Linked DNA regions of Canis lupus familiaris. The protein of the gene in region 2 binds, or shares a complex with, the protein of the main gene of each other region. Links are inferred from orthologs where the notes say so. Each region holds a gene or a part of one and is shown on either strand. Other genes may lie near its edges. The genes, in order: PDCD6 and SEC31A.

Region 1 (3,820 bases), on a different chromosome or scaffold from region 2:
AGTAAGCTAGAAAAAAAGAAAATAGGGGCGCCTGGGTGGCTCAGTGGTTGAGCATCTGCCTCTGGCTCAGGTTGTGATCCTGGGGTCCTGGGATCGAGTCCCAGATTGGACTCCCTGCATGGAGCCTGCTTTTCCTTCTGCCTATGTCTCTGCCTCTGTCTCTCATGAATAAATAAAATCTTAAAAAAAGAAAAAATGTTATTAAGAAAATAAGGAAAATACATTTTCAGCCCTATACTGTATTTATCAAAAAAAAAAATCTGCCTATGAATGGACCAACATATTTGGTCGCATGTTGTTTGAGGGCCAGCTGTACTCCCACGGGGAGAACAGGCTCTACTGGTCACACCTCCGTTCAACAGAACTCCACAGACAAGACTAGCTCTTATAAGCTGCAGAACTGATTCTACTCCATGAAATCACTCATTGCAGGATGGCACTTCCCTCCTTCCCTCGCCCCCTGTGCCACAGCTCAGCTCTGTCAGCCCCCAGGGAGCCCCAATTACCTGCAAGACAATGCAGCCCTGGATGAAGTCATCAAATGCAATCTGCCCCCGTCCTTGTCTGTCAAACTTGCGAATGAGGATGTCATGAAACTGGTCAGAGAGCCGGTACCCTGGAAGAGAAGTGTGAGAATGAACACAGGCCAGGAGAGTGGACATCCCATCAACACTCCCATCCTCTTCCCATAAGGCCCTGCAGCCTCTTACATCTGCTGATAACAAATGACAAACGACCGAGGCTGGGATGGGAAACACAAGGCGCAAATTCGCTCACATGCACTCTGGGAACAAAGCCCTCACTCTGCAGTACTCCCCATGTGCAGTCTTGCCAATGGCTGACTCGCAGACCACCACCTTCTTCTGCAAGGGTGAGTGTCATAGGTGGCCAGCACCATCGGGTACAGCAGGTCATTCAGGTGAGCTCACTTGTTCACATCCAGGAGACTCACTTTATAGTGCTGCACCCCAAGATCACTCCGCAGGGCAGCCAGGCTTCATTATCAAGTTTTCATCTTACAAATGGTAAGTTTCATTGTACATTTGAAAGACCATATTACTGAAGACTTCCAAATAATCAGAATGTAAACTCAGGGAATAGCAGAGCAATTGATGGGTACTCCCCTACATATAGCACACTGACACTAGGAAATGCAAGGTTACAAGGAATAAGGCAGCCCCATAAAATTCACAACCACTCAAGGGTCATCAAATCTTATGACAAAGAGCCACCGATTCCACCTTCAACTTACTGAAGGTCCTGAAAAGGTCTCCAACAGGGAGGCGGTCCTGAAGACACGAGGATACCTCTCGGGGCCACTCTAGACATAGACAAGCACACCTACTTCCTTCCCTCCTAATCCCACTACCTGTGTGACTGTGGAGTCCTTACTTATTCAGGAGACAAGATCCAGGGGCCAAATATATTTACTGGTTTTCGGTCCTGCTGGAATCTTTGCGAGGATATATGTACACCTATTATCTGAGTGAATTTCATAGTTAATTACCTGCATAAACGCTTAATTACTTCACTAAAAAAAGATTCAAACATGCACACACATGACAGTACCTTCCAGAGTGGTCAGCATACTCTATGCATCTGTGACTTAAATCCAGGGCTCCCTTCCCTGCCAGCTGAAGGCAAGACAGGATCCCTGACTTAAATAAAAGAGACAGTAGGTCCTGGATCGGGACCAAACCCCTGGCCCCTCTGAGTCTCCTCTCCTCACACCTGGCACCTATACCACCTGTGGACAGGTAAGAAAGGCCCAGGTTGGTAAGGGCTGAGCTCACCAGGGTGTGGAGAGCAGACGACAGCCATCGCTGTGCGGGTCTCCTGCCCACACAGAACACACAGGATGCATACTCAGGAGTGGTACAGACCACAGAAACAACTTCTATCATCCCTGTGATTAGCTTCCAGTATCCCTGGCCTTCAATACTAATGTAGAGAGAACAAAACGAATGAAAACCACACTAGGAAAATGAGTGATGAACAAACAGAGTACAAAAGAGACGTTTATGTAAGAGGCAAAATCTGGGAGCAGACTCTTCTCTGAGAACTTTCTCCATTGAAAATCCACATCATGATAACCCTATCCTCATAAATTAAGTGGGGGTATCCTCTGGAAATGCAGATCAGAACAAGGTGGCTCACACCGATCAGTGTGTCTGGTATCAGAGACCAGAAACCCCACATGTTGGCGAGGATGTGCACTGTTGGTGGGAAGCAAACTAGTGCAGCCACCGCTGCAAACAGTATGGAGGTTTCTTGAAAAGTTAAAAATAGAGCTCCCACATGATCCAATAATTCCGCTTTTGGGTATTTACCCAAAGAAAATGAACACACTGATTCGATCTGCACTCTCACATTCACTGCAGCATTATTTACAGCACCCAGGATATGGAAGCAGCCCAAGTGACAGACCGGGAGACAGACACAGAAGAGGTGTGCACACGCAGGAATATCAGGCAGCCATAGAAAAAGATGATGCCTCTGGCGACAGTATGGATGGGACCTAGGGTGTGTTATGCTAAATGAAGTAAGTCAGAGAGAAAGACAAATACCAGATAATTATAGAACAAACATAGAAACAGACTCCTAAGTAACGGGTGGTGTTGGAAGAAAGAAGTGAAGAGGATTAAGGAGAACAAACCTGAAGTTATAAAATCAGTCAGTCAGGAGACAAGATGTCCAGCATAGGGAAGACAGTTGATCATACCGCCATGGGGTGACAGATGGCGACTATGACCCTGGTGAGCACGGAGTGCCTTACAGCACCCTCCAATCTCTATGTTGCGCACCTGACACTCATGTAACATTATGTCAGCTCTACTTCAACTAAATTAAATGAAAAACAAAAAAACAAAACAAACAAAGGTGGTGCCCTCTGTGTGCAGCTCCCCCAGCCTGTGGCCCTGGTCAGACCTGATGTGCTGGCCACAGGGCCGCACCCTGAATATAGGAGAGTGAGGTTCTCTACTGAGAACAAGCACAGGAGGGGTGAGACATCACAGCTGTCCTGATGACCCCACAAGTCACCAACTGCCTATTCTCAGCACCCTGTGTGACAGCATACCTCCAAAAACCTGGCTGCTTATCAGTAACTACTCTCCAGGGTACAGAAACTACAGCAAGGAACAGACCTGGGACAGGGCATCCACTCATGTGTATAACCAGCCTGTGGCATAAAAAAGGGGTGGGGGCTGCTCGTGGACCTGCTAGGACCCCAACTCATGCGAATGGGCTGCTAATTTCTAAGGTGGGTCCACGGCACCAATTTTTGTGAGCAAATGTCCACATGTTCCAGGGATGCAGAATAAAGTGTTCTGGGGTAACACGGCACAAGCCTTGCAGTCCTTGGTGCATAAAACAGAGACAAAGCAGATGCAGCACCAAGTCGATACTAGCTGAGGTGAGTGACACTGAATGGAAGGGCCTGTGCTCTGATAAGCTCTTCGTCAGAAAGCAGTGAGCTGGCTGGGCAGGGAGGGAGGGGGAGCTGTCCACACCTGACTGCCTTCCCCACATGGGAGGACAGCACCATGTGGGGGACTCCTACTCATCAAGCTGTCAGGGCCCGCTATTAGCGGGGTGAGGGTGTGCCTCACACACTCCCTTACTTTCAGGTCTCTGTATCGGGTGCACAGCACATACCAGACCTGAGTTTTAAAAAGGAATCCGTGAGCTATCATACCCAGCATGTGGGCCTGAGAGGGTAACCCAACACACCCAGGGTTGGCCCAAGACATGGAGTGGACAGACGTCAGAGGACACTTTCAGGCTCGATCCCCCCACCCCCGATTCCCTCATGCGTGTG
Region 2 (3,820 bases):
CAGTTTGTCTTTTGTGGTTCTCTTCTGCCCAAGGCTCCTTTGGACCCAGAATGAAGATGATATGCTGACACAGAGGAGTTTAAACTCAACAAAAATTTATTGAGCTGGGTTGTGTACTAGGTGTCTTATCAACCGCTCTATACTGACTCATGTCTGAAGGAGGGCTGGAGTTTTCCTTCATTTTTATTAGGACTCTTCTATTTTTGAATGTGCCCTGTTTGGAGGTGTTCACAGGGGACAGTGTATGCTAGACTGCTTCATCTGCTCGTTGTTCCTTGCTTAGTGCTTCCATCACTTCCAGAATGCTAGGCACAAAGGTTTATGTTAACCTTTCCCTGCTTCTGCTTTCCTGACACATTTAACACAGGGAATAGCCTTCCAAAAGACCAGAAGAAAGCTGCACATGTTAATACTCAATGTTTTATGAAACAACAAATTCCAGAAGCTGTTTTTCAAGCAGACAAGTGGCCAGTGGATAAATATATTCAATGTTTGTTGGCAGAAAATTGAAATTTCATCTAAAACAAGACCAGCTTTGTAGGATTTTTGTTGTTGCCAATACACAGGCATCCTCTAGGTAAACTAATAAAACCAGTTGCTTTAACTATGAATACGACTCTAATACCTAAAACAATTTTTTTAAGTTTTTTTTTTTTTAAAGATTTTATTTATTCATGAGAGACAGAGAGAGAGAGAGAGAGAGAGAGACACAGACAGACAGACAAAGGCAAAGGGAGAAGCAGGCTCTATGCAGGAAGCCTGATGTGGGACTCAATTCTGGGACTCCAGGATCATGCCCTGGGCCGAAGGCAGACGCTCAACCACTGAGCCACCTAGGTGTCCCAAGATTTTTGCAAAGTTATACATAAGATTATCTATCTACTTTTAAAAACTTTGATCTAAACTCAGAAAGCCCAAACTTGAATTTTTTTTTTTTTTCAAACTTGAATTTCTTACACACCACCATTCTGTTCTATTTAAGTGCCAAACATGAGGTTTGCTGATGAGAGGCAATACAGGATAGTGGCTGAGAGCATAAATTCTGGACCCAAACTGTGTTTGAATTCTGGCTCTGACCTTGGGTATTACTTAACTGCTTTTTTGCCTTAATTTGGTCATCTATAAAATAAAGATGACAAATAACCCTGGGGTTATTGTGAGGATTAAATTATTTATATATAATAGAAATTATAATACATCTTTATATGTAAAGCAAACTATATAAATGCTAGTTTTACTACTATTGTACAAACTTCTAAAGTGTATCTTGTAAGACTCTGTGCAATTACAGAAGAGCTCCATAAATGAGATTATTTTAAATAAGCAAAATATGAGAAAAAAATACATACGGGATCTGTGGCTGAAGAGAGACAGCGCTGAATAAGATCCTCAAATGTGGTCTTCAGAATGAGGTGCTCATCTGGAATAGGTTTTTTGGTAATTTTTTCTGTTGGCAAAGACTGCACATGCTGGAAGAAATAATATCATAAAATGACCAGAAATGACCAGAAACTACCTATACACAAAGCCCTAAAAGTGTGACAAAGAGAAACCAACTAACTACCTTGTAGATAGGCTGTTAAAATCAAATGACAAATTAACATGTGAAATCCCTTGGGATAAGTAAAATGAAAATCACATATTCAGTAGAAGGTACAGGCTTCTACAGCTTTGATTTTCAAAAACAGAACTGGATATAAAGTATCTGATCAATTATAGAACATATGCTGATCACTACAGTATGTATCTGGTGCAAAGTAGACAGCCAGTAGGAAATAAAAAGAACAGGCATTTAAAAAGTTTGGCTAGTTAGAGTGGCTGCTTGCTCTGCTTGTTGGCTCATTTATCTTGGCATTCTTCTAGTCTTTGGTTTACTTTTGGAGGTTGGTAACTGGGCTATCATCAAACTGCAAGATTAAGTCAAAAGTTGGAATTGAAGAGACCACCATGTTACTGAATGCATAGCTGGAAAAACAAAGAAGGCATGTTTAAGTTTTTAAAGTTCTGATTTATTAGTTCATTCATTCAAAAAATATTAGGCAATTATGTGCCAGGCACTGGCTATGTATTTGCAAGCCAATTCAGAAGTGATCTCAGCTCTCTGGCAGTTTATAGGCTAATAAAGAAAAAGAACGTTTTAAAGTGTCATAAAACAAAAACTTTACAGACATTTATATCTTAATGAAGATGTTACTTGAAAAAAGTTAAAAAATAGAATGTCATTAATACACTTAAAATACACTTAATACATTACATTAATACACTTAAAATAGCAACTGTATTGCTATTTAATTGCTTATTTAATGTTAAGAAGTTAATGTTAAGGAACCAACAGACATTATAACTGGAATTGAACTGAGGGGAAAGCTCTCTTCAGGAAATTTTATCAGAAGGACAAGTAAGAGTTAACCAGTTAAATGGGAAAGGAGAAGCCTTCCAGTCAAAGGAAGAACTTGTATAAAGGAAGGATCATGACATCATGACAAGGGGACTAAAAGGAGGCTAGTGTAGCTGGGGCAGAGAGACAGCAAGGAGAAGTATGAAACTGATAGCTTCCCGGCAATGTAAAATATTTTGGTCTTTATCTGGAGAGCAATGTTTTAAGCAAAGCAGAAACAAGACCAGATAGATCAGTCAAAGGCAGACCAGTTAGAGGCTCCTGCACTGCTGAAGACCTGAGATGAAGGCGGCATAGCCCAGACTTTAGTATAGACCAGGGATTTGAGAAAAATTTTAAAATGCTATCAATACAACTTAGGGATAGATTTGAAAGAGGGATTGAAGGAAAAAGAGTATAAAGACAATGCCCAGGTTTTTGGCCAGATTAAATAGAAAGGATTACAGTGCAGTTCACAGAAACAAGAAACACCAAGTTTTAAGGACTGGGTTTGGGAGGATGACTATGAATAGGGTTTTAGAAATGTTGAGTGTGAGGTGCCTCAGAGACATCCAGGTAGCCAAGTATATAATGGCCTGGCTAAACAAGCATTCCCTGTGCAGCTTTCCCTTCTGATGGTAACTGAGGTTCTGGTCTAAATGAGTACAGCATGGGAACCCCATGTCTAAACAAAAGTGAATGGCTGGGTAGCTTCCTAAAATAGCATAGACTTGTAATCATTTAAAAAAAATTAGCAATGGATCTTTATAATTTATATTCCTGTGGAAAGAAGTCAGTCCTCCTACCTCCATCAAAACACTGGTTTTTATAATGCAACTTTTAATATTTAGAAGTTCCTTAGGCAGAACTCTCTCTTAATAGTAAAGTATACCCTTGTGATAGAGATATAACTTTATAAATTTGACTTCAATGAATCAAAGACAAAAATAGAACTAGTTTTACACTCTGGACAAGGATTTGTTTCCTCTTCTTATGTTAACTTTGACCCAAGCTCTTCACTTTTCATGAACAAATCAAAATGTTTATCTTTATATGTCTAAATCAGTTATATGTGATTTTTCATTGTCTAGAACCCTGCCAGCTGACTAGTTGCTTATCTGTGAAAAGCAGGTACAAATTTATAGCTCCACCTGAAGATAGGCTGTATATTACCAGCTCTTACACAAGAAAAAATACAACTCATTACATTTTTATTTTATATTTTAAAGGGAAATACCTTTGAAAATAGCTTCTGTTTAGCAAGCTTGGCTGAAAATACGGAATTCAATTGATCTTAAATTGTGGCTCCTGATTAGGTCAAATGAAATACTGCAACTGTCAAGTTAGTGTGAACATACATAAGCAAATATATGAGCCAAAGTTTATGGCCATGTAAGTGAAAAATAATACCCATGCATGATCAATCTTAAAAGAAGGGTTACT

Evidence for each region.
Region 1: the proteins of SEC31A (region 2) and PDCD6 are in contact, whole or in part, in a crystal structure (PDB 3WXA), measured with the Homo sapiens proteins. The link is inferred for Canis lupus familiaris from reciprocal best matches to the Homo sapiens genes SEC31A and PDCD6. Residues at the interface, in NP_001070675.1 of Homo sapiens: Asn837, Pro838, Pro839, Pro840, Pro841, Gly842, Phe843, Ile844, Met845; in NP_037364.1 of Homo sapiens: Val31, Val35, Leu48, Ala51, Leu52, Ser53, Asn54, Gly55, Thr56, Trp57, Phe85, Trp89, Ile92, Gln96, Phe99, Phe148.

What each region holds. Positions count from the first base shown.
Region 1 is NC_049255.1:12,055,328-12,059,147, forward strand, and holds part of PDCD6 (programmed cell death protein 6), read right to left. Parts: intron 617-3,820; coding exon 507-616; intron 1-506. UniProt on the Homo sapiens protein: Calcium sensor that plays a key role in processes such as endoplasmic reticulum (ER)-Golgi vesicular transport, endosomal biogenesis or membrane repair.
Region 2 is NC_049253.1:33,233,824-33,237,643, reverse strand, and holds part of SEC31A (protein transport protein Sec31A), read right to left. Parts: intron 1,470-3,820; coding exon 1,350-1,469; intron 1-1,349. UniProt on the Homo sapiens protein: Component of the coat protein complex II (COPII) which promotes the formation of transport vesicles from the endoplasmic reticulum (ER).